Linked DNA regions of Tamandua tetradactyla. The protein of the gene in region 4 interacts with the protein of the main gene of each other region in a pairwise test. Links are inferred from orthologs where the notes say so. Each region holds a gene or a part of one and is shown on either strand. Other genes may lie near its edges.

Evidence for each region.
Region 1: the proteins of MTUS2 (region 4) and TSHZ3 interact in binary tests that used the Homo sapiens proteins (3 or more experiments, as listed by UniProt). The two-hybrid records come from large-scale screens. The link is inferred for Tamandua tetradactyla from reciprocal best matches to the Homo sapiens genes MTUS2 and TSHZ3.
Region 2: the proteins of MTUS2 (region 4) and HSF2 interact in binary tests that used the Homo sapiens proteins (3 or more experiments, as listed by UniProt). The two-hybrid records come from large-scale screens. The link is inferred for Tamandua tetradactyla from reciprocal best matches to the Homo sapiens genes MTUS2 and HSF2.
Region 3: the proteins of MTUS2 (region 4) and WAC interact in binary tests that used the Homo sapiens proteins (3 or more experiments, as listed by UniProt). The two-hybrid records come from large-scale screens. The link is inferred for Tamandua tetradactyla from reciprocal best matches to the Homo sapiens genes MTUS2 and WAC.

Annotation. Positions count from the first base shown.
Region 1 is NC_135342.1:35,719,099-35,726,534, forward strand, and holds the start of TSHZ3 (teashirt homolog 3), read left to right. Parts: upstream 1-4,373; 5' UTR 4,374-4,442; coding exon 4,443-4,482; intron 4,483-7,436. UniProt on the Homo sapiens protein: Transcriptional regulator involved in developmental processes. Functions in association with APBB1, SET and HDAC factors as a transcriptional repressor, that inhibits the expression of CASP4.
Region 2 is NC_135331.1:183,475,357-183,482,750, reverse strand, and holds the start of HSF2 (heat shock factor protein 2), read right to left. Parts: upstream 3,390-7,394; 5' UTR 3,303-3,389; coding exon 3,210-3,302; intron 1-3,209. UniProt on the Homo sapiens protein: DNA-binding protein that specifically binds heat shock promoter elements (HSE) and activates transcription. In higher eukaryotes, HSF is unable to bind to the HSE unless the cells are heat shocked.
Region 3 is NC_135327.1:222,265,982-222,273,955, reverse strand, and holds the start of WAC (WW domain-containing adapter protein with coiled-coil), read left to right. Parts: upstream 1-5,278; 5' UTR 5,279-5,309; coding exon of another isoform or gene 5,310-5,320; 5' UTR 5,321-5,322; coding exon 5,323-5,363; intron 5,364-5,717; coding exon 5,718-5,755; intron 5,756-6,968; coding exon 6,969-7,181; intron 7,182-7,974. Other genes in the region: uncharacterized protein LOC143682789, read right to left, coding at 4,477-5,278, 5,310-5,320.
Region 4 is NC_135330.1:194,043,804-194,051,464, forward strand, and holds the start of MTUS2 (microtubule-associated tumor suppressor candidate 2), read left to right. Parts: upstream 1-4,566; 5' UTR 4,567-4,755; intron 4,756-7,661. UniProt on the Homo sapiens protein: Binds microtubules. Together with MAPRE1 may target the microtubule depolymerase KIF2C to the plus-end of microtubules. May regulate the dynamics of microtubules at their growing distal tip.

The DNA.
Region 1 (7,436 bases), on a different chromosome or scaffold from region 4:
GTAGAGGAGGAAGGGGGTTCCAATGGGTCTGCGAGCAGTCCTGGGGTTCAGGAGTTGTTTTCCAGCCCCTTGGCAAGGTTCTGGTGCTTAAAAGTTAAACCCCAGCTACATAGCAACGCCAGTTTCCCCTACGGGCGTCTGCCACTGAACATTTCAATGAGTCGTTCCAATGACCCTCAGCCTATTTTTCTACTGCTTAATTTTAGGAATTAAAAAAAAATTAATTCCAGAAGCGCGGGACGGCCAAGAGGTGGGGGCATCTTACGAACTTAGGAGTTTACTCTTCAGTGTGACTCACACGGGATAAAAAGTCACCCGGTCCCTGCGAGGGGGACGCGGTTTGTTGGTGCTTTTCAAAAGCTATCTGGAACTCTTCAGAGTGGAGTAAGAGATTTCTACACAGTGCGTCTTCTACAGAATTCTAGCTCCGCCGCCGGGTGCGGGCTTCTTCGCTCTGTAGTCTAGAATGAAGACCGTTCGGCCGCCGGCTGCGTTGGGCGAAGCCTGCACCCTAGAGCGCGCGGTGCTCTTCTTCCCGCAGGAAGGCGCCCAGCCAGCGGCTCCGCGGCAGTCTCTGGCCTCCTCTGGCACCGCGCAGACCTCCGCGCTCAGCCAGAAAGCGCTTGTGGATTCCTTTCTAACTCGTGTAGTGCGTAAGGAATAGCCGCGCGGGCTCTGACCCTCCCGTGTAGTCGATCCTGAGGTACAGAACACATCAGGCACCCGGACAGAAATATTTACATGAGGAATAAAGTCAGGGAAAATGCTGGTACCGGCGGCCCGCAGATGTCCGAGGTGCAGGCCCCTAGGGCGCCCTTGCCGGGCCTCCTGATGTACTTGGAGAAGGACAAGCAAAGCCCTTCGGGCCAGTGGATTGATCAGAAACATATGTGCATATGTTTACCCAAGGGACAGGTAGGGCAAGGGGCGGTAAGGTAAGGCAAGGAGCACAAGCAGAAGGATCACTACTCTCAAGAGTCTGAGCGCCCGGAACTCCCGGTTAGTCTCTGGTTCCCTAAAGATACCTCCCCGTCCGGTCTCCTTCAGTAAATAACATGTGAATTGCAGACTTGCTGCCACCAGGACCCAATTTCTCCCTAAGTGGAGACCCTGGTCCTCACTGGAAATCAGGCAGAGAAGTCCGCGTCTTCCTTCCCCTACTGCTCCTCCCCATCAGGTCATGTCACCAGCTGCCAGACCGGGCCTGGCAAAGTTTGAGTGCGAGCCCTGCCTAGCGACCTCGACAACACCAGCCGCGGCCAAGCTGAAATGCTTTTAAGCCCCCGCATTCAGGCAGTTTTTGGATCTACACTGTCCGTGGTGTGGATTTTAGATGTCTCCCTTCCTGCGGAAGGAGAGCAGAAGGAACCTGGTGGAATAGGTCTATGCCCTTCCCTCCATCTGTCTCATTCCTAAAATGGCCTTCAAAATGATTCACGTTTGGGGCCCGGATATTAAAGAGCATGCGTGTGACTAAAAGAACACTGTAGAGATCAAGGTTCCAGGTTGTGCCAACGGGTGGGCACCCTGTTTGTGTGTCTGGGCAAGGCGGCATGGTCGTGGTGTGCGCTCCGCATAGACCGTGTTGTGCGTGACAGGACTATCGCCGCGACACTGATGGATGCGCCAATGGTTGGACGGACAGATGTTAGGGAGGATAGCACGGCGCTGGGCGCCGGAGCTGGGGAGGGCGAGGCAGCGATCCGGCGGGGGCGACGGACTCGGGGACCAGGGCTCAGGCCGCGACCGGCAGGGGAGGGGGGCGGAGGAAACAGGGGTTGGGAGAGCAGTGAGGAGACGGAAAGGAGGAGGGAGAGCGCGAGCCTGGGCGAAAGCCCCAGGCTTCCATAAGCGGCGCCCAGCGCTTAGGCACGAGCCGCAAAGCGGCGCGCCGAGGTGGGCGCTGGGCACATCCAGGGCCGGCCAGGGGTGGTCGGGAGCTGACCCCGCGCGGCATCCTCTCTCCTCCGGGGAAAGCCGCTAGGCGCGACAAGAGCGCGGCCACCCGAACGGCGAGGCGGCTGGCGGCGTCTGCCCACTCACCGTTTCCTCGCTCGCAAGAAGCGTTTCACGCCCCTACGGCCGCTAGTCTCCCGGCCTGGAGCGGCCGCCGCTCTGACTCTGCGGCCGCAGATATCAAGCGCGCGAAGTGCCCCCAAACCCAAGGCCGACCCCGGGCCTGCCCTGGAACGCGATCGCAGCCTGCCACCCGTTCCCCGCCCAGCTGGGAGTCCGCCGCCTGCAGCTCTGAGCGCTCCTGCGCGCGAAGGCGCGGAGGCCGGCCTTATAGGTTGGAGGCCCGCGGCCGCCCATCCGCAGCCAGGGAGGCGCCTGCCCGGAGCCCAGGCCCGCGGGCTGCTGGCGAGCGGAGACTTTTTATCTTACCGTCAGGGCGGGATCATGGTCGCCTTCTCTAAAAGAAAAGAAAGCATGCCCGTGAACTTTTAAAACAAACTTGCCAAAACAGCCAAAAAGCAAAAAAGAAAGAGGAAAAAGGGCAGAAGAAGAAGGGGTAGGAGGCTGAAAAGGGAGGACACATAAGAAAAGAAAAAACCGAAAGAAAGGAAGGAAGAAGGCTGGGGTCAGCGGCACCAGGAGCGCTCGGGCAGTCAGTCCCGGGGCGAGCCGCACTGGTCCTCGCTGGGACTGTCGGCCGTGGGGCCCATGGAAGGGCCAGGGGCCCCGCCAGCGCGCCCGGGCGCAGGGCCACCTCGGGGATGGTGGGCCAAGCGGCAGCCCCCGTGCTCCCGCCACCGCCGGCGCCACCGCCGCCCGGCAGCGCCCCGAGCCGGCCCCGCCGCGGCCGCCCCAATTCCCGGCCCGAGAACTGGCCCAGGGAGACGCAATCGAGCCCGCAGCGCATCGATGCGCCGCCGCCGGCGCAACTCCGGCTAGGGCTCCGGCTCCACCGCGGCGGCCCGGGGGTCGCCCCCTTAAGCTCTGGCCCACCCGCGCCCTCGCCACCGCCCGTGAGTGAGCCCGCGTGACCCCGCGGCCAAGTCGGCCCCGCCAGCTCCTCCTCCTTGCGGACCGCCGGCCCGGCGCCTCGGCGACCCCAATTACCTAATCAATAATCAATGCCCCTCGCCCCTCACTGGCACCTGGCCGGGCGCAGGGGCACCGCTCGGCAGACCCTTCTCGGGTGGTCTGAGCGGGGTTCTGGGCCTGGGGTCCAGAGTTCTCTCCCCGCCCCGTCCCGCCCCCGCATCTTCCTGCGTCCGGGTGTGTGTGTGTTGTGGGGGGGAGATGCAGCCCCGCGACTGGGGACGAGGGGCGGGGTGAAGCCACCGCGATCTGCCCAAAGTCAGGAGAGGAAACTTGGAGGCACCCCTCCCACACAAACCCCCGGGACCGGCCCGGGAAAGTTTGCCCGGGAAAGAAATCGGGGAAGTGGCTGCGGCGGGTCCTGGGGGAGGAGCCGGGGTGGCGCTAGCGGGGTCTGGGAGCAGCCCCCACCATCTCCGGCCGGCGCCCGCCACCCGTCGCCCCGCCCGCCTAAGGGCCCAGGCCTGCCCGGGTGGCGCGAAGGGTGGAGAGGAGTGCAGGACAGGCGGGGCAACCCCGGGCGGCCCCGGGGCGAGGCCGGGTGGGGCCCGGGGCGGGCGGGGGTCGCGAGAGCTCTAGAACTGGCTTGGCGGTCCCAGCACCGCGCCCCTGTGTGCGCACACGGGGCGGGTCGGAGGGGCGGAACCCCTTCCCGGGACTGGGCGAGGGTCCTGGGCGGGCCAGGGGCTGCGAACGGGGGCGCGGCGCCCCGCGGGCGGGCGAGTGACACGATCATCTCCTTTTCCTTTAAGCTTGCCTGTTGCCGCCGCCGCCGCTCCAGCCGCGCCGCGGGCAGAAGACTGGACCGCTGAGCCCCGGGCCGCGGCGGCGACTGCGCGCCCCCCGATGCCGTGACCCCCTGGTCGGGGCAGGGGGCCAGGGCCGGGCCGGCCGGGGCCGCTCCCGCGCTCCTCCTCCCTCCCCTCTGCCCGCCTGTTCTCCCTCTCCCCACCCCCCAGCCCCGAACCCCGCGCACCTCGTCTGGAGACGGGGCGGGGGGGGGGGCAGGGCCGCACTCCTCCCCGCCCCCTCCTCCTCCGGCCTCGGGAGCGATTTGTCAAACTTCCCATTCCGCCAGCAGCGCGGTCCTCCTCCTCCTCCTCCACCCCCTCCTCCCTCGCCTCTCCTCCCCCGCGCTCCTCCCTCCCGCGCCTCCCTCGCCCGCCCTCCTTCCCTCCGCACGTTCGGGGCTCGCGGCGGAGCGCGGAGAGGGGGGGACGCGGATTGCCGGGGCGCAGCAGCATCCTGCGGGCGGCCCCTCTCCGGGGGGGAGCCTGAAAGCCGGCCCGCCTCGCCCCCCCCCCCCCGCGGGCCCGCCGCCCCTCCCTCCCTCTGCTCAGCCCGGCAGCGGCGGCAGCGGCGGCGGCGGCGGCAGTGGCAGTCGCCGGAGGAGCATCATGCCGAGGAGGAAGCAGCAGGCGCCCCGGCGCGCAGCAGGTACGAGCCGCTTCCCCTTCCTCCTCTCTTCCTCCTCCTCTTCCTCTCCTCGCCCCGCGCCTCCAGCCGGCGGCGACCCGGCTTCTCGCCCGGCTCTTGGTCCCTCTCCCTCTGCAGGCGCAGAGTAACTCCGGGGCGCCGGGCTCGCTCGCTCGCCGCTCTGCTCTTGGGTGCGTGCGCCGGGCTCGGGTACCCGGCGGCCCCCTGACGCCCCGCTAAGCTCTGTCCTCTTCCCTCTCTCACCTACTTCAGGAAACCGCGCTCAGGGCGATCTGAGCCGGCTTGGCTCCCTGCCTCCTCAGCGCTCAGGCTGCGGAGCGGATGGAAAGGAGCCCCCGTCCGTCTCTTTCTGTGGGGGGCGGGCGGGGTCACCTGAGTTCCCTGGGACACCTTCCGTGTCCTCCCCTGGCCGGCCGGCGGGGGATCACCGGGTGCCTGCCGAGCGAGAGCTTAGCGAGCCGGTCCTTTCGCCACCTTTACTGATAATCCAATTGATTCTTCATTTATTGGGCCCAAGCAGGGCACAGCGGTGGAAACCAAAGCGCAGAGAGCCTGGGCATTTTCATATGATTTTGTCCAGTCAGTGTTAGATGCCGGCGTCCCCTTCACCCGTTTGTTTACCCTTACCTCCATCCTCTCTTTCCACCCTCTGCTGCATCTCCCACCCTCCCACCCAAAGCACTTAGTTCTGGGACGTGTGAGTACTTTTTTTCTCTCTCTCTTTTGCCAGGAGTGTCAACTCCTGTTAAGACTGAGATGATTTTTTTTTTCTTTTCTATTCTGTAAAAAAGCATTATTGAAAACAAAACAAAACCCACACACAACATTATTTTGCAATAATGTCGGTTGGGGGCATGTTGCCTGGAAGAAGGGTTTCTGGCCCGTTGCCACCCTTGATTTGATGACTGATTGATCGCCCGTCATGCTTCTGCCTTTGATCTATTCATTCCCAATAAACATCAATAAATCACTGGCACTAGTGAGGCCAAGCTCTGTGACGTCACAAGGGCCCTGTCAGTGCAACTTCGGGGATTTGGGGCAGATTGCCGAGAGGACCACATATGGACGTGATGTATTTTGATATGAATAACACTCAGCTGTGCAGAGGTTACGATGCTGCATGAACTGGAGGGTTAAGCAGACGTTCCTTTCTTTTCTCTTTTCTTCTTTTGGTGGAAGAGGAGAGGCTGGAGGGAGGGATCAGAGCTTTGGCTGGTGCCTTTCTGGGGTGAAGGTGGCACCACTATGCCTTGAGGGTGCTTGTAGTGGCAGTGATGGTGATGGTGATGGTGATGGTAATCTCCGTACATTGGCTGCACTTTGGGCTATAGTTTCCTTAAACAGGGCCATGGGAAAGGGAATGACATTCTTTCTCCTTTCAGAAATGTATTTTCCTTTCTGTGTCTTTAGGAAATCATGTAAGAAGACAGACTTGGTGTGGGATATGTCATGCAGGTTTTGCTCTCTGTCCTCAGTTTTGCCCAAATTTAGAAAAGTCTGAAAATCCCAGTAGTGATCATACAGAGAATACCGCCTCCCACCTCACCTCCTGGCTGATGCTCCTTGCCTGACCCACCTTCTACTTTAAATTCCAAGCTCAAGCAGTAGACTTAACTGCACAAATTAAACTCTGAAAGTTTGGAGGAATCCTTTGCAAAGTTGGGCAGTAGGAGGGTCTTGGGCCTCTTCCAGTCTTTGAGATTTTTCTTTCCTTTTTGGATATACATTTTAAGGTATCTGTGTGCCTCAATCAAGTGAGCCATATGTGATCACATCTTTGCATTTGGTTTAGAACTCTCTCTGTGGTACGTCTTCCACCCTGCCAACACGAAACTCTGATAAGTTTCTGCTAAAAATATTAAGAGAAGGAAGAAACATACTGTTGGTTTTGTTTTTTAAAGCAACCTGTTCAGTAACCTTTCTGCACCTTCGAAAAAGCCAGCCAGGAAATCTCAGGTCAGTTAAGAAATGTTCATTATATAAAAACTTGACTGCACAACTAATAGGAGATGGAAGAATGGTTTTGCTCTATCAAAATGACCCGTCAAAACGACTTTGTTTCATATTTGATTTAATTGTCTCTCTCCTGACAGGCACATTCATCAATAGCTTAATGGTCAATCAGAAGTTGGCAGCGTGAGTGCTTTCTTTCTTTCCCATACCCTGGTTTTGGATTTACTTTATCAGAATGCCTCTGCCTAATGGATGTGTGGAGGAGGGGTAGAAGATGACTGAAGGGCTACTTATTTAAGAAGAGTGGAGGGGGGAAAAACCCTCCACATTTAGGCTGGGGATAAGTATGCACAGGCCAATAAGTGAGCTGAGTTTTTTTGTTTGGACAGACAAGAAACTTCCCATTTTTTTCCTCCTTTTTTAGTTCACACAGCTGCAAGTTATAAGGTTCATGCCTGCTTTTGTGGCATACTGGGAGTGATGACAAATTGATTGCTTTGTACTGATAGACAGAGAGAGTGGGAAAAAGAAAGATGTCTGCTGATTGGTGACTGGAAACCCAGTCCCCAGCAACCTTGAGAATACTGGAGAATTTTTTTTTTCCCCTCCAAACTGAAAGGTCCGCTCAGCCATAAAAAAAGAAAAGTTGTTTTGCCAGCTTCATTAGTGTTCACCTAATTAGCTGTAAACCTGATGGATTCCTGACAGCTTTAATGATTGGAGATGACAAGCTCCACGCAGTGTCATCCAGCAGAATTAGGTTTGCAGCTAGTTTGATGTAATCAAGTTGATATTACACAGTCCTGGCTGCCTTTAGTTGTGCATTAACTCAATTTTCTGCTGCAGGTGACAAATGGGCTTTGGTACCTGGATAATCATGTCATAGGAATTAGGGCCCTTTTAATGGTTTGGGGTAGAATAACAACCACAAAGGACTGAGCGCTGGGTAAATCTTGCAGACATAGCACACAGGTGCACACAGTCTTTATAGCTAGGCCAAA
Region 2 (7,394 bases), on a different chromosome or scaffold from region 4:
AGGTTTCTAGAGGAAATCACTTGTTCTTCTAAAGCAATCTGAACAGCAAGGACAGAAGTAAGAAAACTGGCAAAGACCTTCCATTTCTTTCCCTATAAACCGCTTAACTTCAACATATATGGAGTATCAAATTTCAGTTAACAGTAAAGCCTGTTCTTCACTATCAATGGCAAGAACTTCCATTTAATCTTTACAACCTCTTCCCCTATCAAGTTTCCACAGTTGCTTCAAATCTAAATCCCTACCCTTTCTTTAGGACTCTGTTATATCTAAAAGATTTACTTTTGTCTGACGGTACTATTTCTGCCCTTGATTTTCGCAGTAGACTTCCTAATCAGAGCCAAAAATAGCTATGTAAAATTTTGAAGCTATAGAAAATGTCCCAAAAGAAAAAAGGAAAAAAAAAAAAGCAACTTCCATGGGAAGACTATGGGAATGAGTGAAATATGCACAGTATATGTTTTCTTAAAGGCATTCTGAATATATAGATGTTTCTATTATTTTAGGGTCAAAACATGTAGTATAATAATTTTGGTTGCTCAGGATATATTTCTACATTTAATGATGAGAAATTCACTTTTCAATTCTGTCCCATTATATGTTTCAAGGAAAACTAAAGTTATCTTAAAGTTTTCAGAAATACTAAGCTAAGCTTTCAAAACTTCAGTTAGTAGTTTACTCCCCTTGACTTGCACTCAAGCTAGACAAGTAAATTATTTTTCATGACTAGAAAAAATTTACATAGACGATTGATTGCCTGGTTTCCAAAACATCTGCTGCGTCTAAAAAAAACTTAATATATTTTCTCTTAGATAGTATAAATGTTAAATTACCTCAACAGTAAGTTTAGCAAAACGAGTCTGAAGAAATCCAGAAGCAACCATAAATAGCAACTTCTAAAAAATGGGAGCAGCTTAATTTGTTCTTCCATCTAACATCACTATTTAATTCAAATTTTACCTTTCAGTGTTAACATGGGTTTTAGAAAAACGCATCCAAGAGCAACAGTGAGAGATCGCAGCCCTAAGTAACTAGTTTAGTCCTAGATAGGATTTATCCAGAGTTGTCCACAGACTTGTGAAAGTGGAGGAACAACATTTTGGTATAAACCTAGATATCCTACCAACAGGCATTACGTGTAGTGCTGCTGATGGAAAGCCTATTTGGAAGCTAGGACATCTATGTTAGAGTCTTACCTCCAATCTTGGTTGGCTGTGTAATGGATAAGTAATCGAAACACTGTAAAAAGCCTCAAATCCTCATCTACGTTAAGGATAATGCTAAACAAGATGATCTCTTAGATTCTTTTCAGGGATAATTCTATCTTTATCATTCTTACCACTTCCATTACATCTACTATGGGGATTTCATCCATGCATCAAACATTTACTAAGCACCTATTTTATCACGGGGATAGACACCGTTCCTTCCCTCATGGAGTTCAAATTTTAATTATCCCATTGGTGTATTAGAAAATGCATAGTTAAAGCTAAGTTTAGACTTAGTAACAGGACAAACAAGAATGATTTTACGTGACTGTTTATTCATAAATGATGTATTTATGAATTAGTATGAAACTCTCCACATTTGACATTTTCCATAAAATAAGAATACTATCAAGATATTTTGGTTAATGAGAATATATTAGACCTGCCACTGACATAATATCCTTTAAATAAAACCAACGCATTTGGGAAACATTTCTAGGCAGCAAAAATAAGGCTTATACAAACCAAAACGGTATGATCAAGTTAGTTGGGGGAGGGTGGAGTGTGGTGGAGAATCTCAGTCCAATCTCTATCATGAACACATGGTTGAATAACAGCAGCCTGTGCTGATCCATTCTTGTCAACTTTTAATCCTTCTGACTGATGAGAAGCATGAGACATCTGCTTATTTTTAAGTACATGCTGGCTCCTGGCTTCCTTACTTCCATCTTTCTTTGTAGAATTGTACAGAATTCATCAAATGTTTAAGAACAGAACATAGGATATAACGTTAGGTCCCCCGGGGCTAAAATGATGACCCAGGTGACCATACTGACCTCAAGAAAATTAAATCCTAGGAGTGAGATAAAAAATGGACAAATGACAGAAATACAAGGCAAAACGTGGTGCTACAGTATCCCAAACTACATGTACTAAATATTGTGTTTCCTGATGGGGGGAAAAGGGAGGAAGGGATATAACATTGACTCAGCATAACAAGTGCCAGGCACTGTGCAGGTAGTTTTTCACTTACTTTTCTCCAGAACTCGACACAGGAAAATATCCCAAACTGATTATTCACAATAGGAGAAATCTACTTCCCAGTACAAACTGATCCCAACAGCCTAGGAGTGGATCCTAACGTAAATGCACGGTTGATGTAAATATCTACCCACTCTTAGAATCTCAGTATTTGGAACTGGAAGGGGCTTTCCATCTCTCCTAGGCAACCCACTCATCCTGATAAGAGGCAGGCCTGGGGGCTCGACTCCGGTCATCCTTGTTCAGTGGCAGAGCTGGGATCAAATCAGTAATCAAGACATTCATGTATCACTCAGCTCGTAAAGTGGAGTGAAATTTGGTGATTCATTTTAGCTCCTAAGTTACTGAATCACCCGTCTAGTCACACTTCTATTAAAACAATCATTAAAAAGCTGTACAAAAGGCCGAGAGTCCTCAAAGAATCATTTTTCACTTTCAACGTAATATTTCAAAAACCTACTGGAACGCAGTAACCTCGGTTTGAACATTTGCCTCCTTTCCGCAGACGCCGGGCGTAAAGCGCCGTGCGCGCTTCTGCGAGGAGAATCAGGTGCCGAGGCGAAGATCCCCCCCGACAGAGCCCCGCGCGGGCGACCCCGGGCTCTCGGCGAGCCACGCGGGCGCACGCAGGGTGCGTGGGCAGGAACGTGCTCCTGCGCTCCCGGCCGCCGCCTCCCGCGCCGGTTCCGAACGCGCCCCCGGCCGGACCGTTACCGGGCCCCGCGCGGGCCGCCCCTCCCCCACCGCGGCCTGAGGCGGCGGAGCCCGGCCCTGCCTCCGCGGCACCCCGCGCGAACAATGCCAGGGGTCCCCCTCGCGGGCGAACGCCCAGGCGCCGCGCCGCCCCAGGCCTCGCAGAGCGCGTCGGGCCGCAGGCCGCGGGAGACAAACCCGAGGTGAGGGAGAAGAGAGGAGGCGGCCGTTCAGGGGTCCCCGAGGCCGCCGTGCCCCGGCCCGTACCTGGCTCCAGGTGATGAACTCGTTGGTGTGGGCCTCCTCTACGAGAGTCCACAGCTTGCTGAGGAAAGCCGGCACGTTCGAACTCTGCTTCATTGTTAACGAGGCGCAGGGATTCCGAATTCTAGCCCCGAACGCGGCGGCGGCAGCGGCAGCTGCTCGCCGAGAACGCCCACCACGCAGGCGCAGCGGCGCGCGGGCCCCGCCCCCTCCCCCACCCACTGCCGGCCGCGGCAGGCGCGCGGGGAGGCCCGGCTGCCACACGTGACGGACAAGTCTCAGCGCTGGACCCGCGTATATCGGTCCCCCGCCAGTCCGGTTCCTGGCCAATCCCAGGAGCCGATCGCGGCGACACCGTAAAGCGATTGGGTGTCGCAGACGTAAAGGGGTGGGAGCAGAAGGGGGCGCTGCCTGCTCGTTCGCCTTTTATAAGGAGCGCTTCGCGTAGCGGACCTCAGGTTTAGGGGGCTGGTTGGTTGCCTCTCGTGGGGACAGCTTTGGGTTCCCGGGCTGTGGCTGCGATCCTGTGAAAACTCCCTAAAGGGCCTTTGAGTCATAAGTTTGGCAGGCAAAGTGTGGTTTGCACCACGGGAGGCAGTAGTTTCAGCATGATGTGCTAGGCCCCAAATGGAAACAGTCCTAAAAATAATGAACCTTGTCCTCGTCCTTAATTTTTCATTGGGAGGAAGTGGCTCCTTTAAAATGTTTATTTAAAAAAAAAAACTCATTCATTGCTAAGCAGCTATTATTATGAGCCAGGAGCTGTCATAAGCATCTTGTATTTTTTCCATTCAGCAAACTTCCAGAGCTCACTGTAGCTCGGCGTGGAAAGAAATAGCCTCATTCATACTATTGTAGTCAATTAAAAAAAAAAGTTCCTGTATATATATTACAGGTATACTTTTGCTTGTTTGAGGTAGTTTGGTTTAATGGAAAGATGTTGAACAAGAAGTCTGCAGATCTGAATGTCAGACCCAGCTTTGTGTATACTAAATTACCCTGGTGTGTAATTCAGAGCAGTCTCTTAATCTATCTGGCCCAGTCTACCCCATCTCTTCATTGGGAATAAGAATATTTGTTCTTTCAACCTTATTAGTGACTTTAATAGCCTAATAGATGTGAAATGCTTTGAAAATACCAAGTATTCTACCAAATTATACTTTAAAAAGTCAGCATGGAAATATAAGAATTTACAAACCAGTCAGGGATGATAGTTAACATTTTGTAAAATATTCAACAAAGGATTGTTTTACTTTCTGGGTACATGTAAATGTGTTAAAAATAAAATTTGTACATCTTCTGATGAATTTTTCCATCAACCACTAATTATTTATTGAATATTGCCTTTGTATTCAGCACTGGTCTGTTTTCTGAAGCAAAAATCATGTGTGTCAAGGAGAGGGGAATGTAAGAACTAATATTTCATAAGTGCCTATATATGCCAGGGCTTTACATATATTATTTCATTTCATCCTCACAGTAACCCAATAAGCTAGATCTTACTATCCATTTTTTCCAGTGAACATTCTGGCTCCAAAGTGAATTAATTTGCCTGTAAGGCATTTTGAGCATGGTCTATCTATGGTGGGCAATGGCTAGATTGGTAATCTGGGTGGGTGGTTAGAGCTGCTTTTAGCCTACTTGTATGGCTTTATCTATTAAATTCCATCTAAAGAAAAGTTGTGGGTTGATGCAGGCAGAAATCACTCGTTCCGCTTTTGTAGTACAAAATTGTACTACGAGATGTACGTACAAGATTGTATGTTGTAGATCTCCTCGATCTGTGCAGTCATATAGAGCTCCATGTGTAGTAGCACCCTGCACTTGGTTTAGTGCTTTTATCACCACCTAGAAATTCTCAATTTTTGAACAAGGGTCCCTGCATTTTCACTTCACACTTGGCCCTGCAAAATTGTGATATCCTCTAGACCAGTGATTCTCTTAAGCATGCATCTGGATTGTTTGGAGATGGCAGATGGCCAATAAATAAATTAACAAGTGACACAGGTAGTTTTTTAATACTCATAAGACTAACTAAGAGCATAAGTTATTAACCAGATAAGGAAGCCATGGCTCTGGGAAATTAAACGACATGTTCAAAACCACATGGTTGATGTGCTAGTTTGAAAGTGATGTAACCCCAGAAAAGCCTTGTTCTTCTAATCCTGATTCAATACTGTGGAGTGTAACCTTTTGATTAAGTTGTCCCCATAGAGTTGTGACACACCCAAATATGGGTGTGACCTTTTGATTAGAGATGTGACCTCACCCATTCAAGGTGGGCCTTGTTTAGTTTATTGGAGTCCTTTTAAGAGAGGAACATTTTGGAGAGAGCTCAGAGCTGACATAGACAGAGACATTTGGAGATGCAGAAAGAAAATGTCCCCAGGGAAGCTGTTTGAAACCAGAAGTCAAAGGACCAGCAACGGCCAGCCACGTGCCTTCCCAGCTAGCAGAGGTGTTCCAGACCCCATTGGCCTTTCTTGAGTCAATGTATCTTTCTCTGGATGCCTTAGTTTGAACATTTTTATGGCCTTAGGACTGTAGACTTAATAAATCCCCTTTATAAAAGCCAACCCATTTCTGATATATTGCATTCTGGTAGCATAAGCAAACTAAAAGAGCTTAGGTAGGAACTGAAACCATATCTTTCTTAGTTTAAATCATACGCTTTTTTCCTTTACACCAGTGAGTCTCAAATTTTATCCTACATGAGGATCACCTTTAGGCCTCCCTCTTACCTCCAAGTTTCTGATTCAGTACAGAATATTAAATTTTTCCATACAGAAAATTAAATTTTTCAGTACAGAAAATTAAAAATAATTTGCGTTTTTAACAAGTTCCTAGGTAATGTAAGTGCTGCTAGCTCCTGGGATACCTATAAGAACCGCTATTACAGAGACAAAATTAGTTAACTGACCTTTTCTTGCTAGCATGTACAGACTTGTTACCTCTTAACAAAATCTAGACATTCCAGGAATAATTGTAACCACCTACTGTTTCATTTTTCTGTGTACTTAATTCTTAACTTTTATTCTAATTAATAACATGTTCTGAAAACTTTATTTACTAGAGACATGTTTGGGGAAAAGAAAATAATTTATTGGCTTTTTCTTATTTGTAAAACTGAAAGGGTAAGAAAAACAAGTCAACCTTTTTATTTCACAAATATTTGTCACCTAAAATGTTCCACAAATATCAGAAGAAACAGATCTGAGGCAGTGCCGACAGTTTTGAAATGTTTAAAATATTAGAGGGTAAAAGTATCAGTTTCTTAAAGTGAGTTATCTTCTATTAACTCCAAAGAAAAATATTGGACTATTTCCATGGGTCATTTGCATGGAGTTTAAGATTTAGAAAATTTAAAATAATGTTAGAAAACACAAGTGACCTAGGCCTTTGCCCAAGAAATAGAAAAACATATTATGGAGCAAGGTGATGCTTTAAAGCAGCTGATTCAGATTGCTATAAATTCCATCCAATCAGTTATGTCAAATTTAGAATCAGTAGTGCAACTAGAATCAGTTTTTTAAGATTATTTTCAAGGCTGGGATGATTGAACTAATGGTAAACTCATAGAACTTTCCGCCTACATTCCTATCTGGACATAGTGTTCTCTTTCCTCAATTCTGGAATGACCTAGAAGAATTTAGGCAAGCCACTTAGCATCTCTGAGCCCTAGTCCCTTATATATAAAATGTTAATTAAAATATCTGCTGTAATTACTTCACAGGATGGTTGTCAGGATCAAATAAATAGCTTCTTTCTCCGCTTCACCCTCACAATCTCTACAGATATTTTTCTATAAGTCTGAAAAGGTCACTTGCAGACTTAAAACCTTTCAGTGGTTTCCCGTAATTTTCAGAACAAACCCAACCCCCTTAGCATGGCATAAAAGGTTTTCTGTTATCTTTGCCCCACCTACTATCCCAGTCAAGGCCTACCATTCATTACAAACACCTCACAGTTAGCCACACCCAATTGCTTGATGACCAGGCTCTTTTACACTTCTGTGTACTTCTACAAGCTGTTGCTTCTAGCTGGAGAGCCTTATCCCTACCCACTTCCACCTCAAGTTTCTCCTTAACCACCTCAAGTACAGTCTATGCAGAGGTCACCTCTTTTGGAAAATCTTCCCAGGTGACCTTTATTACAGCACTTACCACATCTTATTGTAATGATTTGTTT
Region 3 (7,974 bases), on a different chromosome or scaffold from region 4:
TAAGTAGTGAAACCAGTAAGACAGCACAAACAAGTTTGGCTGAGGTGAGGAAGGGGACTGCAGGGTCAAGGGGGGGTTTTTTTAAGGATAAGACAGTGCAATAGACATCCTAACAGCAGTCTCCCTGCTGCCTTCCTTGCCCTATATACTATTCTCAATATAGCAGCCAGTGTCATTTCTCTACTCATAAGCCTCCAAAGGCTTCCCATCGCACTCAATAAAACGCAACATTCTTATAAAATCCTACAAGATTCTTTGTGATCTGCTTCTGCACTTCCTGCTATAACCTACCTAGCTTCATTTCCTAATACTTTTTCTGCTCACACACCACCCTTTAATCACACTGTTTTTTGAACACAACTCTCTTGGTACCCATACCGGTTCTTCCCTTGTCACTTTCAAGTTTTTGTGCAAATGTTTCCTGTTCAATGACCATGCTATTTGAAATATTTCTCCTCAATCCAACATTCCTATCACTTTCTGCTATCCTCCATTGCAATTACTACTTTCTAAGTACATTGGCACTTTACCAGTTATTTTATTGCATTTCTTTCCCACCAGAATATAAGCTTCAAGAGGGAAAGAACTATATCTTGTATTAATCACTGATGCATCCCTAATAGATAGAGACAGTGCCTAGAACATACAGCAAGTACTTAATAGATATCTGTTGAGTAGACTGAAGGATGAGGTAGGCAGGGCTGCATATTTGGAAGCAGGAAGAAATTTCCATTTGATAGGTTTAGTCTGGAAGGTCGTGAGATTATCTGCTGAATGAGGGTGGGCGTAGTGAGGTTGGAAAAGAAAATGTGAAAAACCTTTTGGAGTGGGTGAAAATTAGGTAAAGAATGTAAGACTGCCTATATCTTCTGAGGATCCATATGATTTTGACTATCATGGGTTTTTATTGGATATGGCGGTATCCTGGAGGTTCTCCTGTCCTTTCCTAAATAGTTATTTGTTGCAGTTGTCCTATTTTTCCTCCTTAATTGAATGAACTCGTATTTGGCTTATGATAGGAGGGAAGCATATCTCGATCACACATCTAGAATATAAGCTATATTCCTCTCGGCAGGGATAATAATGTGAATTATGTAGTAACAGATCCTGTAGGCATCATTTTTTGTATCATTAATTGGCAATAGAGGTAAATTCTGTATCTCCCAAACAGTATATAATTTTAAGTCTCCTCAGATAATAGACACTAGGCACAGCCAAGATTGGAAGCTACAACCTAAACCCTTTGCCTTTCTCTGGCGACACATGAAGCTTTCATTCTAGTGGAAGGGAGAAAACCAGTATGCAAAATATGTAACAAATTAGACAGTAAATGCTGCTAGAAAAATACAGCAGGGTTTGGGAGATGGTGATGGAATGCCATTTACATAGTTACCAGGAAAGACCTCTGATAAGGTGAGATTAGAAGAGAGACACGGAGTGAGCCAAGCAGGTACAAAAGGGAGGAGTATAACAGGCAAAGAGGCAGTACTGTAGAAATCCTGAGGCAGAGGCATGTTTGGTATGGAGTAACAAGAAGGACAGAGTTGACAGAGGCAGAATAAGCAAGTTACTGGAGGTAATGCCAGTGGAAGCAATATACACAGGGCCTTGCAGGTAATTGCAAAAAACTCTGGCCTTTATTCTGAGTGAGATGAGAAACAATTGGTGGGTTTTAAGGCAGAAATGATACGTGACTTAACGAGCCCACTCTGACTGCCCTGGGAGAAAACAGAAGCAAGGGAAGAAGGACGAGCTCATTTAAGAGACCACTGCTATAGGTTCAGGTAAAAAACGATGGTGGCTTGTGAAAAGAGATCAGATTCTGGATATATTCTGGAGGTGATGCTGTCAGGCTTTGCTAATGGAGTCTATGTGAAGTACGAAAGAATCAAGGATGACAAAATATTTTAGCCTCAACTGGAAGAATGGATCTGACAGGTCTTGAGATTGGAAAAACTTGAGCAGAACTTGTTTTGGGGAAGAATTAAAGAGTGTGGTTCTGCAGATATGAAGTGGAGATGCCCACTGGGCAATCAACTAGAATAGACAGGTAGGTATTTAAAAGATCTGGGCTAGAGACTCAAACATGGGTCCCATCCAGTTACAGATGATGGGACTGCCTAGGGAGAGAGTACAGGGAAGAGAGGCAGATCATATTGTGGAAGTTTAACCCTAGGGGAGGGTTAGACAAGGACTCTAAGGAACAGCCAGTAGGAAAGAAAAGAAATTAGAATAGTAGTACCCTGGCAGCTAAGTATGGAGTTTCAGGAAGGAGGGAGTTAATCTATCAGCTCTGTCAATCACTGCTAAGTGAGATGAAGGCTGAAAAATGAAAATTGGATTTGAGAACATGGAAGGTATTGATTATCTTGAGTAAATGGCATGTAAGAATGAAGTCTGACTGTTGTGGATACAGAACAATGTAATATTGGAAGTAGAAATGAAGTTTCTTTGTAAAGGAGAGCAGAGAAATGGCACAGTATCTGGAAAAAGATACAGGCTGAGCTTTTGTTTGAGGATGGTAAGTACGACAGCATGTTTTAAGTTGATAGAAGTGATCCATTTGAGAAAAAAATTGATAAAGAATGAAATGGAAGTCGATACAAAGCGGAAGTTTGGTTTTAGATAGAAACTTAGTTTATCTATCATTTTTGAGGGTGACAGTGCAGTACTACATATGGATTCAAATGGAGTAAGGCTGATAGATACGATGGTTAAAGCAGGTGGAAGTTTTTATTGCTTTGATTCCTTCTGTTCTCAGAAAAATGCAAAATAATTAGTTAGCTACCAGTGACACCATTGAGGAATGACACTGGCAGTCTTAGATGTGAAACAGTTAGAAAGAAGAATAAAGTGAATGGATTAGGGAAATGTAGCCTGAAGGCTGAGGAGCATGAAGAGATTTACTTCAGAGTCAGTTTAGCTGTGTGTTTTTGTCCAGTTCAACTGCTCTCCTAGATATGTAGTAATTAACTAGGACTGTGGTATAGACACGTAAGGTAGAGGAAGAGGGGTGAAAGGAGTAGGGAATATCTGCAAGGAAGGATTCATAAGAAAAGATAATGGACTCTAAGTTGAGCAATGGGATGAGCTTTTAAAAAAATGGGCGTAACAGTGAGGAACACGTTTTCCCCATAGCTCAGACCAGTGCTCTTGTTCATATAGCATTATCAGCAAAAGACATTTGACTATCATAAAATAAATCACGTTTGTATTCTAATCTGATGTCCCCTGCCCTCGATGTATTTGTTTCAAAAGTGTACAAAAGACTTTACTATTGAACTGATTTTGTTTTTTTTTTAATCGAGGACTGGTAGCTATTTCAGTCACGGGCAGCTTTTGTCTTAATTACTCAGTTTATGTGAGCATTAAGTAGACTTTCTCCAGTTCTTAAACAGCAACAACTTCAACATTTGGTAGATGGATTTAATAAGGCTATATAATTATTTTTTTCAATCAGTTGAGAGTTCAGGGTCATTTTCTCCATCATCCATCTCATTAGGCCCAACGATAATTTAAGCTGTTAGCAACCAATTCAGTTAGTTTTTGATATGTTTTTTTTTGAGGAATGTCTCTTGTTTCCCAGTTTGCTTTGTTTTCCTATATACTATAAATAATGGTTGTATTTTTACTTTATGTTTATTACAATCCTTCATGTTAAATCAATGCTGCATGATCGCCTAACAAGAAGTTAACAGGAAAAAAAAATCACCTAAATGGCACCGCCCTCAAGTACATTTTGTTGTTTTGGCGTATCTGTTCGACACTCCCCGCTCCCCACTTACCAATGTTGCTATTATGCCTATAATGACACACAAAAATCTGTTACATTTTTAATTAGCACGGAATTTACAAATGCATTTTAATTCGCCAAAGAACTTATCGAGGAAGAGACATTAGAAAAGAGTAAAATGGGAAACAAAGAAAGGAGAGAGTGAGGGGAGGGCACAGCCAATTTCCCAGGCCCGAGATGGAAAATATCTTTTAAAATGACGTGGCTCAACGCTTTTTCCAAACAGCCCTTCCCCGAATCTCAGTTTAATCCAATTTCTTAATTAACTGCCCAAAGTGGTTCTCCCTCCTCGATCCAGGAATCCCCACCGTACAGCCGCGCAGACACACAGCCTTCTCACAATCTGTTCAATACCCATAAACTCTTTCACTTTTGCCAGTTCTCACTTAGAAAGCTTTCTTTCCTTTATGCTTCTGGGTGTGTGACTTACTTCTCAAATGCCGACGAGCGTGGTAGTAAAAGCCCCAGGCCCGGCGCGGGTCTTGCGCTCCGCGTCCGGCGTGAGCCAGGCGCCCAGGCCTCGTTTCTATAGAGGCCTCGCTTCCCTAAGAGCCGCTTCCCAGGGCTGCAAACAAAGAAAGCTGCTGGTAACCGCCCTCCACTCGCCTCACCGAGGGGTCTTCGACCACCCCACACCCCGAACCCGGAGGGAAGAGGCTGGCGGCCCGAGGGCTCGCCCAAGGTCACCCGCCATTCCCCGCGCCCGCCGCGGGGCGCAGGCGCGCCGCAACGGCCTCCCTCAGTCTGCGTTGGCTTCCGCCGCGCCCCGCCGCCCTCCTCTCTAAGGCGGCTCGCTGACTGCACATCCCGGAGCCCCTACAAACGGCCTCTAGCAAGTCCCTCAGCAAGATCAGCCCCGAGCAGGGACGCTGGCACCGACGTCCGCGCGAACGAAAGGAACAGCAAACGGAAGGAGCCCGTCGGGTCCGAGCAGGCGAGCCAGGCCCGGCAGGAAGAGGAAGACCGAAGTGAGCCGAGGTTTGCCGAAGGCGGTATTCGGAGCCGCGCGAGGAGGGGCGGGAGGAGAGGGCGGGAGAGGAGGAGCGAGGCGGAAACTGCCGATGCTTGCCGAAGGTGGCCTCGTCCGAGTTGCCCGGATGTAGTTGGTGGAGCGGCAGCGGCGGCACCAGCGGCGGTGGCGGCGGGAGGAGGAGGAGGAGGAGGAGGAGGAGGAGGCGGAGAGGGACCAGGCGGCGGCGGCGGCGGCGGGGGGAGGAGGAGAGGAGGCGGCGGAGCAGGAGGAGGGGAAGGCGGAGCAGGCACTCGCTCTCCGCGGGGCTGAGCCGGACGCGTCTGGGTGCCCCCCTCCCCCCGTTTCGCCGCTGCCGCCGTGTAGTTGGCGCCGCCGGCCGGGCCGAGAGTGAGCGTGGTGGCGGAGGGAGATGGCCCGGGAGCGCCGGCTCCAGTAACGGGGAGGTGCTGAGACTCGCCGAGGGCGCGCCGGGCCCTGGTGCCGGCGCCCCGCCGCCCGCCCGCCTCTCGCGGCTGCTGTCCCCCCTCCCCGCCACACACTCACAGGCCGGGCATTGATGGTAATGTATGCGAGGAAACAGCAGAGACTCAGTGATGGGTAAATTGTCTTTTCGTTTCGGGCCGGGCGGCGGGGGGCGGCGGCGGCGCGGGGGGGCTGTTCCTCCTTATCGGGAGCTGGCCGAGCCGCCATTTTTGTTGTTAACCCTGTTCCGGCTCGGGCTGGAGGAGGCGCGGCGGCGGGAGCGGGGGCCGGGCGCGTGTGCGGGAGCTGCCTGGAGGGCTGCGGCCAGCTCGCGTCGCCTCCTCGGGGCGGGCGGGAGCGTGCGAGTGTGCGGGGCTGCCCGCTGGGCCCGCCTGGTAGGTCGCCCGCGGGGAGGGGCGGCCGGGGCCCGCGTTTTCCCGTCCTCCCCCCTCAATGTCTCATGTCGCCGCCTCTCTTCCTGTTTTTCAGCTGTCACGACCGGAGGGGGGACTCGCAGCCTTTCCAGGTACCAGCCGAGGCCGGGGTGGAGGGGTTGGAGGGGGAGGGGGAGGGACTGCTACTCGAGCGCAGGCTTCAGAAGTCGCTACAGGCCTTTCAGTGCTGCAAATCCGAAACTAGCACCGCGGGGCCCTCATAAAATGTTGTGTTTGGTTCCGGGAGCGCTCTCCAACGAGGCCTAGTGACTTATTTTGACAGGTGACTGGAGAAAGTTCACTTTTATTAGAAAACATTAGCAGCCAGGAAGACCCGACTTGATGCTTCGGGTGTGAAGGAATCGATGCTGTAAGCTGTGAGGCATGTTCATCTGTTGTATTGGGGAACTAGAAGTTGATGAGAAGGAATAGAATTCGATCAAGGGCCTGGGACGAGAGAGCCAGTTGATACTCAACTCAGAATTCTGCTGTGAACTATTTCTCCGCATTTGACTTCTTTTGAGTGCACGTAATTGTCTTACATGTGAAAGATAGTTTTTGTTACTGTAAAAATTAAGATCCTTGGATGCTTGTATAATTCACTCTAATATGTGGTTCATGGTATGTAAATTCTTTTTTGTTACTGCAGTTGTTACTGGTAAAGTTTTAAAAATTTATGTTAGGTGTGCCTGAGGTTTCCGGAGTGGGGGGGACATCTGGTAAATGGTTGACAACTATCAGATGACACTAGAAGTTGTGTAAGTGGTTTCTAAGTCTAATCACTTGGAGAAACAGTTCTGTTACTGGATATCAAGACTTGTTAAAGCTCAAGTTAAAAACACTTGTATTTACAAAATGGAGTGAATTTTTTTCTTTTTTTTTATTTGATATTATGGTTTATATCAGGAGCCTTTTATATGAAGATACGCAGTTGTAGAGCAGAAGTTAATTACAGTATTACTGAGTTTCTAGTTTTCTTTGGATTAAGTTTGCAAAAAAGGATTTCAAACATTAACTCCCAGAAAAATTTATTAAGGAATGTATGTGCCAAGGTGTTTGGTTTCTTGTATTTACAAAATGGAGTGAATTTTTTTCTTTTTCTTTTTTTCATTTGATATTATGGTTTATATCAGGAGCCTTATAATAACTTGTCAGCATTTGGGACTTGCCTCACTAACTTAAGGGCAGAATTCAAAATGGGAATTTTAATTTTGTTACATAAACTCATAAAGCTCAGTACACCAAGTTTTAGAGTTTAATCAATTTAGAGAGTTTGAAGTTTCAATTCTTTCTCTTTCTTTTTGGGGGGGTGATGTTTTACAGGCACTTAAGTATTCATCGAAGAGTCACCCCAGTAGTGGTGATCACAGACATGAAAAGATGCGAGACGCCGCAGATCCTTCACCACCAAATAAAATGTTGCGGAGATCTGATAGTCCTGAAAACAAATACAGTGACAGCACAGGTCACAGTAAGGCCAAAAACGTGCATACTCACAGAGTTAGAGAGAGGGATGGTGGTGAGTAGTTTTCCTGTTGAAACTTTCACATATATTTATTATTTAACGTAGTGCTATGCAAAATAATTGGCACCATTAGTATTTCAAGCTTGAGGATGTTACCATGTAATTTTGTCATCAAGGGATTTTATGTCTGTCATGTTATTTGATTCATAAACAGTCCCTGTGTAAAAATAGGATGCTGACCTGAATGTGTAAAATTTAGAACACTGATAAGAATATATTTATGAATATAATCTACCAAATGTTTTATTAAATGATGGGAGAAATACAGAACATTTTTCCCGGAAAGAAACTTTTACTTTTTAAAGGGTTAAAATCTGTTTGATAATTATACATGATAAATTATGAATTCGGAAATTCAGTAAGTTTTCAAGACAGTTCAAAGGTTTACTGAGATTTCTGAGAGTTTGAAAATCCCATTTAAATTTTTGTTGTGAACGTTTAAAATGCTTTCCATGTTCTCCAGGAACTTGTTAACTTTTATTTTCTGTTCATTCATATACTCAGCTTTTTAAAAAGTGAGCTTCCTTTTCGCTTTCTGCTGCCTTTCAGTTATCTCAAGCACTTTGCAGTGGGAGGCTGAGAATGAGTAAATGAAAGCAATTCTTGGTAACTATTTTCAGGCTTAATTTGCCCAAAGTTTACCAAAATACCAGGTTTCATGTCTAAAGCATGCCTTGAGGAAAAATCCAGGTTTTACAAAAGTAATTAAGAAATCTTTCTTTTCCCCACTCATACTGTTTAACAGATGAAATGGTGGAGATAAATAAATAGCATAGCTTGCGCTTTT
Region 4 (7,661 bases):
GCATCACAGTCCAGCTTCTCCCTGTGTCCAGTCCTTGTCCCTTTTCCTTCCCACAGGCACTGACCCTTAATAAATAGCCTGCTGTTGGGTAGACCAGTCTCCCGCCCAAGTGACTATCATGACTTGCAACCACCACTCCACTGGCTCTTCCTCAGTCCTCCTACTGGCATTGCAGCAGTTTGCAGTTGCATAAGGCAGATGCCTCTGCCCTCTCTCTGCGACCTTCGCCTGCTCCTTGGTCTGGTTAAGTCCCCCATAGCAGACTCTGTTGATGCTGTGCCCCCACCTCCTTGGCTGCCTTCCAGCTGCAGCTTTAATGAGCAAAACACTGGTTGCTGGGAGTCAAGTTGACAATGCTCTGCCTCGAGGAAGCTGCCAGGGTCATCCTTCTTTTCTGCCTCAAGGCTTTCTTTAAAGCCCTGGGTGCTCGGAAGCATAGGGGAGTAGACACCCCAAAGGTGATTCCCAACATGCTCATACCCCCATCCTAGAAATGACAGTTCTGGGAGGGCTTTTTTAAGTGTCTCAGAGACCCAGCGGTACTGAGTGTCTGCTGTGTACAGCAGGGACCTGTGTCCCACACTTTTTTTTTGGGGGCGGGGGCATGGGCAGACTCTGGGAATCGAACCCGGGTCTCTGGCATGGCAGCGAGAATTCTGCCATTGAGCCACCGCTGCACCGCCCTGTGTCCCACACCCTTATGTTGTTTTTTCCAAACTTCCTTCTCTTGATTTCTGTATTTCATTGTGGCTGCTTCTGGGATCACCTCCCGAAATAAACTCTGTCCCTGAGTCCTTCCATCAGGTTCTGCTCTGGGAAGGGAGACCCTAAACTAAAATGCCAGTTGATCACATTTTATTTTTTCATCAAAATACATTTCTACTCTTCTCTTCACAGTTTCTAGATGCAAACATACCCAGAGATTAAAGTGGGCTTTGTCTCGGAACAGCTGGAAACAAGAGGCGACTTTGCCAGCTGGACCTCTGAGAAGCAGAGGCCAGGAAGAATTTAGATGATCAAAACATGTACTGGAGAAAACACCTGGGAAGGACAGCAGGAAGGGAGAAGCAGCTTGGCTTGTAAGTGGGTAGGGCCATCAGACTGGCGAGGTCTGACACCTGAGAAAGGACAGGGGAAGGAAGGAAGATGGTGTAGGAAGCCGGTCAGGCAGTCCTGCAGTCCTGAGTGAAGCTGGTAGGGCTGTGAGGAGCTTTTGGGCAAGAGCTGCGGGTCAGAGTTCTGCACTGGGCACAAACGGGCCAGCTTTAGTCCTCCCCCCAGGCTCAGGTGTTGGCTGGGAACAGCTGGGGGGTGGAGGGGGCGCGTGACCCCCCCCACCACAGTGCCTTGGTGGGCCCGGAGGTGTGAGCCCTGGAGGCTGCTGGTTCATTACGTGCCTGTAGTTTGGGGAGCACACCTCCAGGGTGGCCACAGAGACAGCCATTTCCACATTTTAAATCGAGGTACTGCACCATCTTTGTGGGATTTGCTAAGTAAGGGTCTTGCCACCTTCAGCCCAAGTTTAAGAAAATGAGACAAGGTTCAAGGAGGTTGGATGTGGGAATTCGCTGGAAAGAGTCCAGAGTGTTGGGAAGAGGTGGGAGGACCCACCCAGTTCACGCAGACAGGGTTTATTGTACCTGAGCCAGTGATCCTGGGAATCAGCGGAGGTTAAGTGATTCCTTGCCATTTGTGTTCTGGAGAACAGCTTTCTGCAAAGAGCCCCCCGTCCCCCTATTACTCAGAAAAGACTCAGGGATGCCCCCCTGATTTACCTATGACAAACCAGATGCAGACCCTCCAAACTCCCGTCCTTTGCCTCCTAAATGTCGCCACTCCACTGGGCAATCAGGACAAAATGCTTATAACCAAACTGCTGAGGTGTCTCTCCTTCCTCCAGACCCTTAAACTTTCAGGGCACCTCCCAGTAAATAGGCTGCCCCGACATAAAATATTCTTGGAACACTCTCTGATCCCGTCACCCTTTCACCCCACCACCCTACACCCAGTTCTTTCCTTCCTATCAAAGAAAACCTCCTTTTCCCTCAGTCCTGAGATGCTTGCAGACCTCATGGTCGGGTGTTCTCCCTATTGCAATAGCCCTTCCCCCTTTAAAATCATCTTTCCAAATAGGGTCTCTCCTTACCAGGTCAGGATTTGATTTTTATTTGGCAGTGCAAAGAAAGGTGGGATTCTTGGGAACTAGCTGGAGAGTTTGGTAGGTATCTCCTGGAGTTCGGGGACATATATTAACCTTGACTCCTACGTGAAATGCTTCAAGGAGAGAGGCTGGTGGAGGCTGTCTGTGACCACAGAATGAGGAGAGGATCCTGCAGGAGCAGTGGTCTGCACCTCTAGAATTTGATAGGCAAAATTCCAGGGGATTTCTGCGGGCTGCAGCAGACATGGCGGGAGGGGGCTGGGTCTGAACCATTTCTGCCTCCCAGGACACAGAGCCCCCAGAAGGCCCTGTGAGGTGGACCACTAGACAGAGAAGCTGCGGTGGGACTCGGAGTAGTCAGCAGCAGGCTAGGAGGCAGGTGGGTTCCCACCCCCACCAGCCCACCTCCTGGAGGAGCGAGGCTGCCTGGAGCCGGGGTGGGGGTGGGGTAGAGGTAGAGCAAGGTTGGTCTTCCCCACAGCTGCCTTCAGAATGTGGGTCCTCTGGGTGCTGACAGGTGGTGGGAGGGGAGTGGGGAAGCTGCAGTTGGAGGAGATTGGAGTTTTGATTTGGATTGGACTGGACTTTTTAATACCAGAGAACCAAACTCGCTATTCACAGCTGAAATGACAGATAAAGCTATGAAATCTGCCCTAGATTCTTCCAGAGAAGCAGGGAGATCCGATAGAATGAACTTAAAACACAGCAGTGTGGGGGCAAAATCAAATGGTATTTCGAGATTTCCCTTCACCAAGTCCAGCTTGTTCAAAAAAATTAGCCGATATAAGATACTGTTTAACAGAGTAGTTTGAGAAAAAGATCCCCATTAAAAGACACAGAAACCTAAATAGTGCAAGAAACTAGCACCATCATTTCATTTTTGTAATAACAACTCTTTAGTACATTGTCATTTCACCTAACATTTTTGAACCCTAGCATTTTTAAACAGCTCAGCTGTTCTCTGGTCTCACTTGCCCTGTCAAGTCTTTCAGGAGCCCTGCTTAGGGGAGAGGAAGGTGGGACCCCAAGGTCTTCGGAAAATATTAACTGATGGATTTATTCATACGATCTGTCAAGGCTGACGGATCCCTCTCTCAGTGTTAGGCACACTTGGTGCTTATTCAACACAGAAATAAAGACCTGATTCTATAAAGCAACATTTGCCTTTTAGGCAAACAGTTTCAAGACCGACTTTGGGCTCCATCTGAGAGTTCTTCCCGATGCGTCGCCCAATTCTTCTCGCTGTACATAATTCCAAGAACGCCAGTCCTGGAAGTCGCTGCCCTGTTGCCCTGTTAGCCAGCTTTTCAGTCATTTTAAACCCATTTTAGCCATTTAAAGTGTACTTTGGTGGTGGTAATTACAAATGCTGTGGCACCATCAACACCATCCATTACCAAGAATTTTGTACGCCCTCAAGCACTGCTACCCAGAAAGCATTAAGTCCCTTCCTTCCTCCCTCACCCCCATCTACTTTCTGTCTCTATGTATTTGTTTATTAAAGATATTTCATAGAAACGGAATCACACATTTGTCTTTTTGTGCCTGGCTTATTTCACTCAACATGGTGTCTTCCAGCTCATCCCCGTTGTCCCCCGTCTCAGCACTTCATTCCTTTGGACGGCTGAGTGGTATTCCCCAGCGGGCACACACCTTCCGTTTGTCCATCTGCGGGTGGACATTTGGGTTGCTGCCACCTTTTGCCTTGGGTGAACCGACGTGCTGTGACCTCGGCGTAAGGTATCTGTCCCAGTGTCCCCCCTCCCCTCGGTCTCACTCCTCCTTCCCCTCGGGTCTCCCGAAGCCGGGGTCTGGCGGGGGCTGAGCGGGGCCGCGCCCACGGGCCCCCCGCGAGCGGGAGCCGGCGGTGTCGCGGGTGCGGGCGCTGGCGGCCGGCAGAGGGCGCTCGGCTCTCCCCTCGGCGGCGGCGCGGGGCGCGGGGCGCGGGGTGCGGGCGGGCAGGCGCGCGCCGCGGGGCGGCCGGAGGCGCCGGGGGCTCGGCGGTGCGTGGGGGCGGCCGGGAGGGGGTGCGCGCGCCTCCGCCCGCCCGCGCGCGGCTGTCAGCGGGGACCGCACGTCGCGAGCCGGGAGGGGCGCGCCGGGGCTCGGGCTCCGCCGCCGCCGGCCCCGCGGCTCGTCTTTGTCCGGCGGCCGCGGCCGCGCCGTGGAGCTCCCGGGCGTGCGGCCGGCGGCCCCGCTGCCCTCCCCCGCGGACCCCCAGCGCCGAGCGGGGGCGGCGGCCCGGGCGGGGCCTGCGCCGAGGTGAGTGCGGGGGCGGGGGCTGCGGGGCGCTCCCGGCGCAGCCCGGGCGGGGCGGGCGGAGGTGACAGTCTCGCGGCCGCGCTCTCCAGGTGCCGTGGCGTCCCCCGCGCCGCCACCTGCGCCGCCCCGCGGGTCTCTCTGCCAAGTTTGTCGATCCCCCGGGGCTGAAATCCTTGGCGGAGCCGCGGAGCGCAGACCTCGGGGTCGCTGGAAAACTCGAGCTGGGGAGGAGGAGGAGGAGGAGGAAGCGCCCTGGAGCCTGGCCCGGGGTGAGAGGGTGCTCGCGGGCAGCGGCGGCCGCTCGGACCTTCCCCGGGCTCTTTCCCACGCAGGTGAGCGAACCCGGGGCACGCTCGGCAGGGGGCCGTCTGGGCGCTGCAGCTGCCCCGGAAGCCCCGCGAGACAGGTGGCCGGAGTGCGGGGCAGCGCCGCACTGGTTTGGCTTTTCGGTCCCGAGGGCACTTTCTCTCCCCTGCCCAGGTCACCTGCTCGGGCCGGGGTGTCGCAGCCTTTCGGGCACCTTCGCGTGCCGCCAGGTTAGACATCCCTGCTGTAGAGGGGAGGGGAGGTTCGTGAAACCGAGTGCCACCTTCCCCCAGCCTTGGAAAATCGGGGCTGTGAATTCGTCTTATTTTAGTATGAAATGTGCTATTTCCTGCGAGCTTTATAATGGCAAGCTCTGTAAAGGACCAAGCGGCTTGCTACCTCCATTTTTCATTCTGAGCCTGTGCACAGAAGGAATTTCAGGCACACAAGTGATGTTACTACCAGTCTATTTTAAATACAAACACGGAAAGAAGTGCTCTTGGCAGGAGACCAAAGGCGCCTGTACTCTGTTATATAAGTGCTTTCAAAAAAATATTTGCTCGGTGGTTAAGTTATAAAAGTCATTCCCAGAGCGTGGAATAAGAGAGGGTGAGAATAAGTCAGAATCATGGTTTCTGCTTTAAACCAAAACTTTACTGGAAGATAAGCGTGCACTTAGCTGGAAGACACCCTTTTAAGATAACATGGGCCCTTTCTAATAAATCATTGGGTAGAATTGCAAAGCATTAAAAAGCAAAATAGGTTTTGTAAATGCTGTTATGAAATTTGGTTAGGAGTCTTTACTACTGATAGTGATAAGAGGGATCCTACAGCTGTCCTTTATGGGTTTCAGACTTCTGAAAGATTTTGTTTTGATCTCTGATGAAAACTTAGTAATTGGGAGTTACCAGTTATAGAGACCTTCCTCCCTCCACCTCCTCAGCAAAGCCTCTAACTCTTATTTTTGGCTACTTTTTTTTTTGGGTAAGAGGAAGCCCAAAGTAGAAATCATCATATATAGCCATGTCTGGGCCCCTTCTTTCTGATAGTCTGTTCTGATTGCTTTTTGGTGGTGCCTGGGCATCTGTGATGTTAAAAGCTTGCCTGTGCTTCTCCGGGCAGCCTGTGTTGAGAGCTACGGAGAATATTATTTCATTTATCACTTTGTCAGCCAAGGCGTGGCTGCCCTGGTTTAAGAAAAGTCAGACATAAGCAGTCCAAAATACGGCGAGAGAAAAGTATTGGAAAAGAGATATGCTGATGAATTATAGCATGTGCACTTTCGTATTTTGTCTAAATAATCTTTCTTAAATTTTTTTTTTTAAACACTGCAAAGAATAGTTTTTATCAGGGACCCAGACTTCCCTGGGGATTACTTACCGGAATCCTGAGCGGAACATTTCATTGTGCAGGGGTAACAGGGAATGTTGAGTAGTAGTGTCAAGATGTTCTTTTATGCTTACGTGATGAAATATTCAGGGCTTATTAAAGACGATTTTCTCTAGCAAATTTAAAGCCTTATGTTCATATAGACCAATAAATTAAGTCACAAAGAGCTTTCATTGTTTTTAAGACCAGAAGTAAAGCTGGCTGCTAAGTCAGTGTTTTCTGTCTACTTCATGTATAATGTCCGAATCTGGGAGCATATCTTATAGATGGCTTCTGGTTGAAATATCTATCTGATTTTGAAGGCTTATGTAAGAACTGCGACTGTGTTTTGGCTATTACATAACTGACACAGAGCTAGATCGCTAGTCAAAAGAGGGGAAGGGTGCACAGCCCAGGCCAGCCCATGCAGTTGTATAATGAATTGCTGCTGCCAAATTAAAGGGAACAGCGGCGATGGTGGTTTGTGAACGAGAGATAAGAATAGTATCCAGAGGACTGATGCAATAGAAAACTGTTATGCTTAGTGGTTTTCTAGAGATTTTAGTGCTGCAGTAAAAACTGCTGTCGTCCTTTCTGTCTTCCAGCAGAGGTGGATTGAGTGGGAAGCTGATGAAGCTTAAGCTTTGGGGCCCCTCACCTAGAATTCCTCCTGCGAGGAGCACCAGCAACGTGTCCACGTGGCCAAACCTAATTCTGTAGGTGCACTTTTGCATTCTGTTTAAAGAAGGACTATACCACACCTCTTCCCTAGTATGTAAACCTCAGGCTCCACAAATCTTGAGTCTCCATTTCTTGCCAATGTTAAGCTCACCCATAAAGTTGCCTTTCCTTATTTTAACTTTTGTAGCCTTGTGAAAAGACAGTTAAAGAGGTATTGCAGTTGACCAGGTGAGGAAATGCAGATTGCTGTGTCCCGGGGCTGGGGGGTGGCAGGGAGTCAGTGGTTATGTGGGGAACCGGCCCTCCGCCTTGCTGTCTCAGGAACGGCACTTTTCCTGGATCTGAGTGTGAGCTGAAGCTTAGAAAAACCCGGATGGGAGCAGGGTGGGGAGAAAGTGGGTTAAAGCACTTGCATATCTCAAGGTGGGCTGCCAAGGAAGGGGACACCTCTTTAATAGGAGTTGATAGGAACAGCTAATGTCAGCTCCACAGAAGATCTTTTTGGGATCTGTCTCTGATAGGAATTTTAAACTGTGAGTGAACAAACTCAGACCTGGAGAAGAACCTGCAGGAAACCAGTGCAGGTTGGGAAGGACTGGACGAGTCGTCTGGTTGTCCCCATTAGCAGATGTGGTGAGTAAATAGGAGCCTCACTGTGTCCACCACAGGAATGTCTGCAGAAAAGGGTTGAGGATTTTCCCTTTATCTCTGACACGATTTCAACGTTCACACCTGAATTCAGGTATCTTCAGACCTTAATATCTTGACCCCTCCCGCACCAACCCATTTGCCTCATCCCTCCATCCACCCATCCGTTTATCATCCGTCCATCTGCCCATCCATCCATCCACTTATACACCCACCCAACAAATAATTTTGAGTG